Linked DNA regions of Xenopus tropicalis. The protein of the gene in region 1 interacts with the protein of each later gene in a pairwise test. Links are inferred from orthologs where the notes say so. Each region holds a gene or a part of one and is shown in the gene's direction. Other genes may lie near its edges.

Region 1 (4,079 bases):
GACAGGGATTTATGATAGGTTGGGGGGGTCCCACAATTTGGTAGAGATTTAGGGGTGTATTGGTTATATGGGGGCAGAAATTAGTTGAGGGTGCCCTTTGTGTAGGAGACAGTGATTTATGATAGGTTGGGGGGGTCCCACAATTTGGTAGAGATTTAGGGGTGTATTGGTTATATGGGGGCAGAAATTAGTTGAGGGTGCCCTTTGTGTAGGAGACAGGGATTTATGATAGGTTGGGGGGGTCCCACAATTTGGTAGAGATTTAGGGGTGTATTGGTTATATGGGGGCAGAAATTAGTTGAGGGTGCCCTTTGTGTAGGAGACAGGGATTTATGATAGGTTGGGGGGGTCCCACAATTTGGTAGAGATTTAGGGGTGTATTGGTTATATGGGGGCAGATATTCAGGGAGGGTGCCCTTTGTGTAGGAGACAGGGATGTAGGAATAGTTGGGGGGTCTGTAGTTTGGTAGAGATTTAGGGGTGTATTGGTTATATGGGGGCAGATATTCAGGGAGGGTGCCCTTTGTGTAGGAGACAGGGATGTAGGGAGGGTTGGGGGGTCTGTAGTTTGGTAGAGATTTAGGGGTGTATTGGTTATATGGGGGCAGATATTCAGGGAGGGTGCCCTTTGTGTAGGAGACAGGGATGTAGGAATAGTTGGGGGGTCTGTAGTTTGGTAGAGAGTTGAAGAAGGTACTATGGGGGCAGTAATTTGGGGGGGGGCAGGGGGTTCTATGGGGAAGCAGGGGGTTAGTAGTGGGGTAACATGGGAACTGAGATTGTGTGAGGATTGGCTGTGGGTATCAGGCATTAGAGTAGAATTGGGGCAGAAGGTACAGGGGGGGTTAGTTCCTATCCGGGCAGTGGAAGGAAGACATAGGGTAGCGGTATAACGGGTAACGGGACTGTATGTGGGAGAGTTCGGTACCGACTGCAGCAGAACATCGCAGGGGCCCCGGCTTGGGCTCCGCACCCACAGCGGCTCAGTAACGTACTCCCGGCCCCTCCCGCACTGTCCCAGCCCCGCCCATTCAGTCAGTCCCAGCTCCGCCCATTCAGCACCACAGACAGCGACCAACGGGGAGACTCGCTAAATATTAATGAGCCTGTCACTTACTCCTTCCCACCATTGGTTGGGAACAGACAAGGGGCGTGTGTATGGGCGGGGTTGGCGGAGGAATTTGCTTGTTCCCCGCCCAAGGGAGGGAAGCGGTGGGTTGGCGCAGCCGTTTGTTTTTAAGGAGACGTGAGTGGGCTGCTGGGTCAGTCGGAGCCGGGCGGGCTGAGAGGAGGCTGTGTGGGAGCCGCACGCTGTGGGTACGGGGAGGGCAGTGACAGTGACTCTCTGTGGCGGAACTTCGCTCTGACAGGGATCCCTACGGGCTGCTCTATTGCCCCTGCCGCGGACTATTTCCAACCCCTTTGGGTCGCCCGGACTGGCCCTCGGATTCCCGCTGGATTCTCCGGAGTATTAACCCCCCTACCCCCGTATGGAGAAGTATCTCCCGCAGCTCCTGGCTGAGAAGGACGCGCTGGATCCGTCATTCACTCACGCACTCAGGATGGTGAAGGAAGGTAGGAACTATTGCCCCCCCCGGGGTATTATATTGTTATATTATGGGGGACACTTGCACTGGGGGTGACCTCTGGGGTATATTTATCCTGTGGGGTACAGAATGCAGTGCGATTCCCCCCCCGGGTATATTTTACTGGAACTGCCCCACTGGGGTACATTCATTCCTACCCTCTGCCCAGGAACAGCCCCCCTGTACTCTACTGCCCCCCCAAGGGAACTCATGCACTGTAACTGCCCCACTGGGGTACATTCATTCCTACCCTCTGCCCAGGAACAGCCCCCCTGTACTCTACTGCCCCCCCCATGGGAACTCATGCACTGGAACTGCCCCGCTGGGGTACATTCATTCCTACCCTCTGCCCAGGAACAGCCCCCCTGTACTCTACTGCCCCCCCATGGGAACTCATGCACTGGAACTGCCCCACTGGGGTACATTCATTCCTGCCCTCTGCCCAGGAACAGCCCCCCTGTACTCTACTGCCCCCCCATGGGAACTCATGCACTGGAACTGCCCCACTGGGGTACATTCATTCCTGCCCTCTGCCCAGGAACAGCCCCCCTGTACTCTACTGCCCCCCCATGGGAACTCATGCACTGGAACTGCCCCGCTGGGGTACATTCATTCCTGCCCTCTGCCCAGGAACAGCCCCCCTGTACTCTACTGCCCCCCCATGGGAACTCATGCACTGGAACTGCCCCACTGGGGTACATTCATTCCTACCATCTGCCTTGGGACAGCCCCCCTGTACTCTACTGCCCCCCCATGGGAACTCATGCACTGTCACTGCCCCACTGGGGTACATTCATTCCTGCCCTCTGCCCAGGGACAGCTCCCCAGTACTTTATTACCCCCCCCCCAAGGGAACTCATGCACTGGAACTGCCCCACTGGGGTACATTCATTCCTACCATCTGCCTTGGGACAGCCCCCCTGTACTCTACTGCCCCCCAAGGGAACTCATGCACTGAAACTGCCCCGCTGGGGTACATTCATTCCTGCCCTCTGCCCAGGGACAGCCCCCCTGTACTCTACTGCCCCCCCAAGGGAACTCATGCACTGGAACTGCCCCACTGGGGTACATTCATTCCTACCCTCTGCCCAGGGACAGCCTCCTTGTACTCTACTGCCCCCCCAAAGGGAATTAATTCACTGAAACTGCCCCACTAGGATACATTCATTCCTACCCTCTGCCCAGGGACAAACCCCCTGTACTCTACTGCCCCCCATGGGAACTCATGCACTGGAACTGCCCCACTGGGGTACATTCATTCCTACCCTCTGCCCAGGGACAGCCTCCTTGTACTCTACTGCCCCCCCAAGGGAACTCATTCACTGGAAGTGCTTCCCTGAGACATATCATCTCTTCCTCCTCTCCTAAAATTGGTCCTACTCAGTAAAGTACCCTCACCATCATCTATCCATCTATCTATCTATCTATCTATCTATCTATCTATCTATCTATCTATCTATCTATCTATCTATCTAATCTACCTATCCATCCATCTCTGAAGAATAAGGTAAATCAATGTTCATTCTCCAAAGCACATTCACCTTAACAACCTCCTATGGAACATGTCCCTCAGCTTCCCAAACAGTCATGTTAAGAACCCCCAAGCCCTTTATACTAAGAATTCACCCCCCAATGTACAATACCACCCAAGGATTTTACCTCTACCCTCAAGTCAAAGCTGCTCATACTCCGGGGACTGCGCTCCCTAAAGCTCCCCTATAACCTTATCCTCTCTAGGGAACTCATCTCTCAACCTCTTCCAAAAATCACAATGCTTGGGGCAGGGGGGGCTCTCTCTTCTTGATGGCCAGGATTATATCTAGAAAGTCTTTTTGTTTTAAGAGCAACCCCTTGGCTAAACTTAGTGATGGGATTGGGTAGAAGGACTGGAATCTTGAAATCTAAATTGCTCTTTTGGAGAGGGTGGGGGGGTAATATGTTTCCAGGCTCTGCTTTCACTCTGGTTGGGGTGGGTACATAGGATAACGTCTCTGAAATGCAAAAAAATCACATTGTGGTATTGGTACCTGACCTAAATCTGTCATTACCTGTTCTAGGGGGAAGCTATGGATTTGAACTACTATAGCTCCCTCTGGGGGTCTTGTACTTAGAATGCTCTTGGTGGTGGTGGGGGGCTGCGTTCTAAAACTACACTCACTCCACCTTCTAATGTATCTATAGCATATTGTAGCTCGCCCCGAGTCCCTCTGGGAAGATCCAACGCCAGCTGTTTCCCTCATGTTAATTCTATTGAGATCCGCTGTATCTCACAATAGGTGCCACATATATAGCATTCTCCGTCTCTCTCTAAGAGACCGTGGCAGTCACACCTACAGAGCAGTCTCCATCTCTCTATTTCGGTGGAAGAGAGCCCACCCCAAGGTATTGTCATCGCTTTATTTTTACCCTGGTTTCAGTATAGGAATCCTCAGGGTAGGACAACATGCAGCCCCGGGAAAGGAATCCTGTTGAATAAGATTTAATTGCTCCTCA
Region 2 (3,653 bases), on another chromosome or scaffold:
TGTCATTCTGAAATTTGGGCAAACCGTTCACTGTTCTAGATAACCAATAGCAACCAATCAGCAATACTCTTTTGTGGGTCTCGTTCAGTTTGAAAAATGAAAGCAAACATCTGATTGGGTGCTATAGGTAAAGCTGGCCAGAGGTTTTTAAAAGATCTTTTCATTATCATAGGACCAAGCTTATCCTAAAACGATCAATAGGGCTGTGGCACACGGGGACATTAGTCGCCCGTAACAAGTCTCCCGTTGCGGGTGACTAATCTCCCCGAAATGCCATCCCACCGGCAAGAATGTAAATCGCCGGTGGGATGGCATATGCGGTACTGAGATTTCCCCAAAATCGCTGAAGTTTCCTCTCAAGGCAACTTCCACGATTTAAGGGAAATCGCGGCGCCACGTATGCCATCCCACCGGCGATTTACATTCTCGCTGGTGGGATGGCATTTTGGGGAGATTAGTCGCCCGCGACACGGGAGATTTGTCGCGGGCGACTAATTTCCCCATGTGCCACAGCCCTTTAAAAGTACAATTTGTCCATCAACAAAAACGACCATTTTCGACCATATTCTGTACCTGAAGCTAGGAAAACTGCCTGTTTGGTTCTGCAAACAATTAGACAATGGGCAAATTCTATTGTTAACCTGCTCAGACAGATGTTGGATAAAAATCTCTAGATGTACGATTGTTTGGTGCCCATTAACTCTACGATAATTTGATGGATTTTTCGGATCACATTAAAATTGGTCGTTAGGCATAGTAAAATGTTAAAGTGTATGGGCAGCTTAACGAGCCAAAAAGCCACTTGGTTGCATTGCCTGGAAGGTTCTGCCATTACACTGAGTTAATGTTGCCATTATAGGGTGTCGTCACAGTGACAGCACAGAAAACTACCGTAGGGCAGCGCATTGTGACAGGCGGCGGAGGCTGGGAAAGCAGAGCCGTCAGTGTTTTTTCCGAGAGCTCTGTAATTCCTTCTCTTAGTCACGCCGACTTTCCAGGGAATTCACAACAGAAGGGAGGGGAGGAATCACAAGAATGCTCACCGTGCCTTCACTAACCACACGAGGCAGAGGGCGGGTTAAACGTAAGCACCAGGGGAATGTAAGTAACACGCCGCATGTTGTCTGGCAATCGGAGGCTGCTACCAGCCGCTTTAATCAACACACACACTGCTGCCAGTCTTGTGCCCCTAGCAGCGCATTGATGCAGATGGGATTCCTAGAGAGGTGATGCTGGGGTTCCGCTCGCACACACTACATCACTGAGATGGCTCATCTCAAATTCTTCATTAAAGTCTCATTGCCTCTTTGATTTTCTCCGAGAAGTTCCTTCCAGCTGTAATTAAATAGGTTATGCATTGCTGTGGAGCCTCCGTCAGATTTGTTTGTTTTCTCAGCACATTAGCAAACTCTTAGAGGAGAATTAAAGACAGCACTTCATCCCGTTGCTGCCAAAGCCATCCGTAATATGGCAGGGCAGCCCTCCCACCAGGGGTTAATGGTTTTACTAGCCCTGTGCTAGGGTTCAACCTGCCTGTGCATTTATTCAGCTGATCCTGCCCCGGACTAAACTCATAAACATGTGTTTTTGATAGAATCTGAACAGCGAAGTACATGTTGCTCTATATAAAATTATACGCTGTTAAATCCGCAGAGCTGCATTAAAGGAACCATTATTTTATTTTTCACTCAAATCTTCATAATGCTGTTCTTTTTTGTCACATTCAGATTTCATATAGTTACACATTAATTATTTAACGCTCGCCTCACTAGGCACCAGTAATAACCAATGACGTTAATAAGCACCATTTATGAGGATATACTTTACAGGATACCTATGGCTTTTATGTATAATAGATTAATGTTTCCCCAAGCTTTTCGAAGAACAGACTAATAGAGCAAATGCAAAAAACATTTTTTCTTACAAAGGGTAGTTCACAGTGGTATTGATATCTGATTTTTTTCTGTAGCTCTTTAGCAGTTATCTGGTTGCTAGAGAGAGCAGAGAGTGCTCCTTTGAGACAATTTGCATTTGCTCTTCATTTTTTATTATTTGTGGGTTTTTATTCAGCAGCTCTCCTGTTTGGAATTTGAGCAGCTGTCTGGTTGCTAGAGTCCAAGTTACCTTAGCAACCAGGCAGTGGTTGAATGAGAAAGTGGAATATGAGTGGAGAGGGTCTCAATTAAAAAGTTATGTAACGAAAAATGACAATAAAAATAAAATTGTAGCCTCACAGGGCAATAATTTATAGGCTGCCAGGGTCAGTGGCCCCCATTTGAAAGCTGGAAAGAATTAGAAGATGAATAAAAATAATTCAGAAACAATAAAAAACAAAGAACAGTTTTCAAAGATGATAACGGTTGGTAATTTTATAACATATTAAAAGTTAACATGACGGTGAACTACCCCTTTAAACTCTAAAAAATAAAGAGCACTTGCAGATGTGCTAGGAATAGGCCATTCCATAACATAGTAAAGGTTAACTTTATGTTGAACTACCCATTTAACTTGCATTTGATACAAAAGAAGGGGGATAAGAACAAGCATTCATAGCCACCCCATACTACTTCAGAAAGAAGAGAAGTTTTTTCCTGACCCCAAACTGGGAATCTAGCAAGTCCTTAGAATTAGAGCAACATGGCAGTGCATATAAATACTAGTGATTACTATTAATTGCATCTGTTTAAGTTATTTATTTTTGTAGTGCTACGTTCCTTGCCTAAAAGGTTTTAATTTGTTGGTTGTGGAAAGCAAATTGAGGACTTACATGTAGAAAGTACATTACATACATAAATACATTCAAATAGTAGTTTACGGTGGGACATTTTCTATTTGTATCTGCAATTGATTATTTTGTCTTTTTTTTCTACAGGTACACACAGCTGTCATCATGTTTGAAAAGGAGCATTATATTTTCTACTGAAAAAGAGCTTCTAGACGTGCAGACCTAAGTGGTGTGGACAGCAGATTTTATGATGGATACCACCCAAGCAGGTTGCACAGGTCAAAGAGCTTTTAAAGACATAGCTTGCCAGTCAAGGATTTCCAGCGTGGGCAGAGGAATATTAAGCAAGGATATACGGAAAGCATACCCACTGCGGAGACGGCTGTCACCAGCCATGAATGAAAAGACATGTACTGTTGTCCTTACCAGACTGGAGGATGTTGCTGGGTCATGTATTATGGAGGGTCAAAGTGGGGCCCAACCAAATATCTCTTGTTGGGTGGATGACTTTGGCACACTGAAGGTTCATACTGGGCATTCTTCCAAAATGCAAAGGGTTACTCCAAAAGGGAAGAGATACTCTGGGGTCACGTCCAGCATGGATAATATCCGTGATTTTCCCGAGCCCCGGAAGCGAAGACTAGCTTCTCTGAATGCAGAAGCGGTCAATAACTTGTTATTTGAAAGAGATGATGGGTGTTCTCGTAAGATTAGAAAGGATTTTGGAAAAGCTAGTGAAAATGGCATATCAGATGAAGGTTGGACTAACTTAAAGCCAAACTGTCACCTGCACAGCAAAAGGAGCAGACAGAGATGCATGGCATCCGGCCAGTTACCTGATGAAGTATTTGAAAGCGAAATGAAGGTGGAGGATAAAGTGGTCTCCTATTCTCCTGCTCCAAAAAGACTAGCGAGCCTTAATGCTGTG
Region 3 (3,653 bases), on another chromosome or scaffold:
AAGAAGATTCTAAAAGCTGGGGGGTGACCCATTCTATTGAGCTAAGCATTCCTTCATTGATTGAACCTGAGGGGCAGGTATAGGTGAAGGTATAACTGTGAGTATATACCATACACCTGCACAATGTATATATCTGGCTTTATTGATATTCAAGTACGTCTGTGTGGATCAAGTTAATAAAGCCTTTTTGTTTGAGTTCAAGAACCACTGGCACACATTATTGTTATCGAAACCCATGAGATATTATTTACTTAGGAAAACTATATATCATTTTTTTCAGGAGAACCTGAGCTTTCTAACGCTGCGTGTTTTTGTGTATTTCCACTTCTGGAACAAGATGTAGAGCTCTAAATAGGCTGTTTCTGGCCTCAGAATTATCGTCACCGCTAATTTTCGTACCATGAGGTGATGAGTTGTTTAGACAATCCGCCAGGTTTCAAAATTTAAGTCGGATAATGATAAAATCTGCAAATGTGTATTGGACGAAGTCCTTGGGGGACGTACCATGGAAGTCACTTTTGTACGATTGGTGTCTGCCAACTATTTCATGTTCAGAACATCCTCCGATTTGTATTTTTTGGGCTTTATCCTACAATTTCAGTCTGAAAGTTAGTTTTAGATTGTTGAACGTACAATCGATATTCCAATATTTTTTCAGAAGAAGACTAAAATCTGAACATGTATGCCCACCTTTACAGAGATTTCTGATTTCTACAGATCAAAACTCCCAGCAGTAAATTACCGAAATTTCAAAGCACTACAGCAGAATATGGCATACTTTACATTCCAAAAAAACTTTAGGTTTATCCCCAGAAACATACATATTCTGCTGTATGTCACTCTACTCCTAAGTACCAAACAGCAATGCTTTTCTGAACTTAGCAGTTTCTATAAAAAAAAAAAAAAAATCGCCTCAATGCTTCTGCTTTCAAGCACCTTATCTCCCACAAAGCATTAGGTACCAAGAAAAAACATCCTAAATATAAACGCCATGGGCCTACTGAGCAGTTTGATGTCCAGTATGCATAGATTTAGCAAACTGGATTGGAGGTGGCATGATCCTACTATAAGTGGAGTAGAAAGGTAAACAGTAGCAGCCTATAGGAGGATTGTGTGCAGCTCAGCCAAGTGTAATTGACAACTATGGTTCTTCCTGGCCTGCACAGTTCAGCATGTTAAGTGTCAGACCTTCAGTGAATCTCTGGGCTGGAGTGGATTGGGCAACACAACACACAGAGCTTAACTGATAGGAACTTGTCAGTTCCTATCATTAAGCTAGAACAGGCAAAATAAAAACAAAAGAAAATAAACAGAACTGTTTCTCTTTTATTTAGGAAATAAAGGTGCAGTTGGTGCCGCTTTCATGTTTAATGGAACATCGTTTGGCTTTATAAACAGTCATCTTACATCTGGGAGTGAAAAGAAACTCAGGTATGTCGCAGGTATTGGCTTTGGAGGTTTTCACAGCCTGAAAGGCTCCTTACGTAATACAGTATTGCTGTTATGGGAACCTTAGATTGTTAGCAGTTTTAAACAGCCAGTATAATAAATTTGCTACACACATTGTTACAGTGTTTATCTCCTCAGGAAATACATTTTCAGCTGACTGGAGCTTATTAGCCAAAATGACCAGCAGGTGGTGCTGCTGATTCAAATTCATTATTTTAGAAGTTGAAAAGTTGCTGATATCTTGAAAACTAGAAAATGGATGTAGACTGCAAAAGTGCTTAGAGGAGCTTTATGAATATTTTACACTAATTTGTTGTCAGGGTTTACATTTCCCTTAATTCACTATATTTAAAGCGTTATTATTTCCACAAGATGAAGCTCATGTTAAATGCTGGGTCTTTTAGTGCATAGATGCTCTTTCCAATGTACAGTATAACAGTAAATTATTACTGTGGCTGATGCCTGTATAGTTATGCTATACATGTGTGTGTGCTTTGCTTCCTTCTTCATTCAAAATAAATCAGAAATGACTTTAATGTCCTGTGGTTTCTAGCCTAAGGGGATAAGCAGCTCATCCTATTTAACCACACACATTGATTTGCCCATCTTTTCTGGCTCGGAGATCAAACTTATTATTTACAACTTCCTAACGTGTCTTCTTTGCTCGCTCGTTCATTTAGGAGGAATCAGAATTACTTCAACATCCTGCGGTTTCTGATACTGGGGGATAAGAAGCTCAGCCCGTTCAACCTCACACACCGATTTACTCATCTTTTCTGGCTCGGGGATCTAAACTACCGTTTACAACTTCCTAACACTGTAAGCAGCTGCAGGGGTGGTTCTGAATTAGAATTGCTGGAATGGTCTTTTGTAAAGTGAAAGTTGCATACATCATTAAGGCCACAGACTTACTTTGCCACAATCAGGTCTGGGTCGGTGTGGCCCACTGGGTTTTTTCCCATGACATGCTTGCCCAGTCCGACCCTGTTCCTGCTGACTAGCTCCTATAGATTTGTGGTATTTCTAAAAAGAGGCCCTAGGGAATTAGGATGGAGGGTTTCACTGACAGCCTCTTTTGGCATCCCATTGAAATCAGACCAGTACCCATGTTTGTTTGTTTTTTGTTACCTGTGGCACCACCTTATTTTTCTTTTTAAAGCTGCAGTTCAAGCTAAATGTTCACCTTTGGACAAGTGTCCAAATATGAACAGCTTCTGTCGCAAGAAACATTTTCTCAGTTGGTCTTTTTTTTTTTTAAATCAAGATATTTACCCTTGAACCATTACCATCTCCAACCCCTATCTGTGTCAGTGTGAAAGAAGCTGAAGAAGGAAGTGTAGGCAGGATATGCTCCTGCACAAGCCTCTTCCATTTGGCTTCAATTGCATATCTTTGATACAAGTGGCTGGTACGATACTTATTCAGTGAACAAGAGCAGAAGAAGGTCTGCACATCATTCATGTGCTGCCTCAGTGATAGTTATCTTGACAATGAATTGAAAAAATATGATGGGCATATCCCCTCTAGGATAACTAAAGGTCAACATAGAATTAGTCTAGATATGTTACATCATATGTTTTGGGCTTCTGTACCAGCCCAAGGCAACCACAGCCCTTTAGCAGGGAAGATCTGTGCCCCCAAAATGCCCCAGTAGCTCCCCATCTTCTTTTCTGCTGATTTCCTGCACATGCTCTGTGCTCCATTTTCTTTCCTCACATTCCCTTCCTTTTACTGCATAATTTTCCTTCATTCCTTCTTATAGTAGTTACTGGACTTTTATATTATAGTATGTATTATAACTTGCATGTTGAACAGGAAGCTGAGAACATAATCCAGAAGATCAAACAGCAGCAGTATCAGGAGCTGCTTGCCCATGACCAGCTGAATTTGGAGCGAAAGGAGAACCTGATATTTTTTCAGTTCGGTAAGTTAGTTGACACATACTATATCAGATGCAGGTATGCAGGTATCTTGCCAATGTTTAACTGGGAGATGGATGTAAGTGGAAGCTCATTATTGACCCATATATAAGCACATAGGATCTTAAAGCGATTCTATCTTGATTTTATGGTGTCTAAATTACACTGTTCACTCTACAATTTAAAATTTCATTCTTGAACAAACAAATCTATTTTTTTTAGCTGTAATATTGGTGTGTTTGCGCCATCTCAGTGCATTGTGCCTGAGTCTGAGCTTTCAGAAGG

What was found.
Region 2: the proteins of khdrbs3 (region 1) and bahd1 interact in binary tests that used the Homo sapiens proteins (3 or more experiments, as listed by UniProt). The two-hybrid records come from large-scale screens. The link is inferred for Xenopus tropicalis from reciprocal best matches to the Homo sapiens genes KHDRBS3 and BAHD1.
Region 3: the proteins of khdrbs3 (region 1) and inpp5d interact in binary tests that used the Homo sapiens proteins (3 or more experiments, as listed by UniProt). The two-hybrid records come from large-scale screens. The link is inferred for Xenopus tropicalis from reciprocal best matches to the Homo sapiens genes KHDRBS3 and INPP5D.

Annotation. Positions count from the first base shown.
Region 1 is NC_030682.2:144,623,532-144,627,610, forward strand, and holds the start of khdrbs3 (KH domain-containing, RNA-binding, signal transduction-associated protein 3), read left to right. Parts: upstream 1-1,247; 5' UTR 1,248-1,490; coding exon 1,491-1,575; intron 1,576-4,079. UniProt on the Homo sapiens protein: RNA-binding protein that plays a role in the regulation of alternative splicing and influences mRNA splice site selection and exon inclusion. Binds preferentially to the 5'-[AU]UAAA-3' motif in vitro.
Region 2 is NC_030684.2:114,752,080-114,755,732, forward strand, and holds part of bahd1 (bromo adjacent homology domain-containing 1 protein), read left to right. Parts: intron 1-2,872; 5' UTR 2,873-2,972; coding exon 2,973-3,653.
Region 3 is NC_030681.2:126,699,927-126,703,579, forward strand, and holds part of inpp5d (phosphatidylinositol 3,4,5-trisphosphate 5-phosphatase 1), read left to right. Parts: intron 1-1,334; coding exon 1,335-1,431; intron 1,432-2,129; coding exon 2,130-2,268; intron 2,269-3,264; coding exon 3,265-3,373; intron 3,374-3,653. UniProt on the Homo sapiens protein: Phosphatidylinositol (PtdIns) phosphatase that specifically hydrolyzes the 5-phosphate of phosphatidylinositol-3,4,5-trisphosphate (PtdIns(3,4,5)P3) to produce PtdIns(3,4)P2, thereby negatively regulating the PI3K (phosphoinositide 3-kinase) pathways.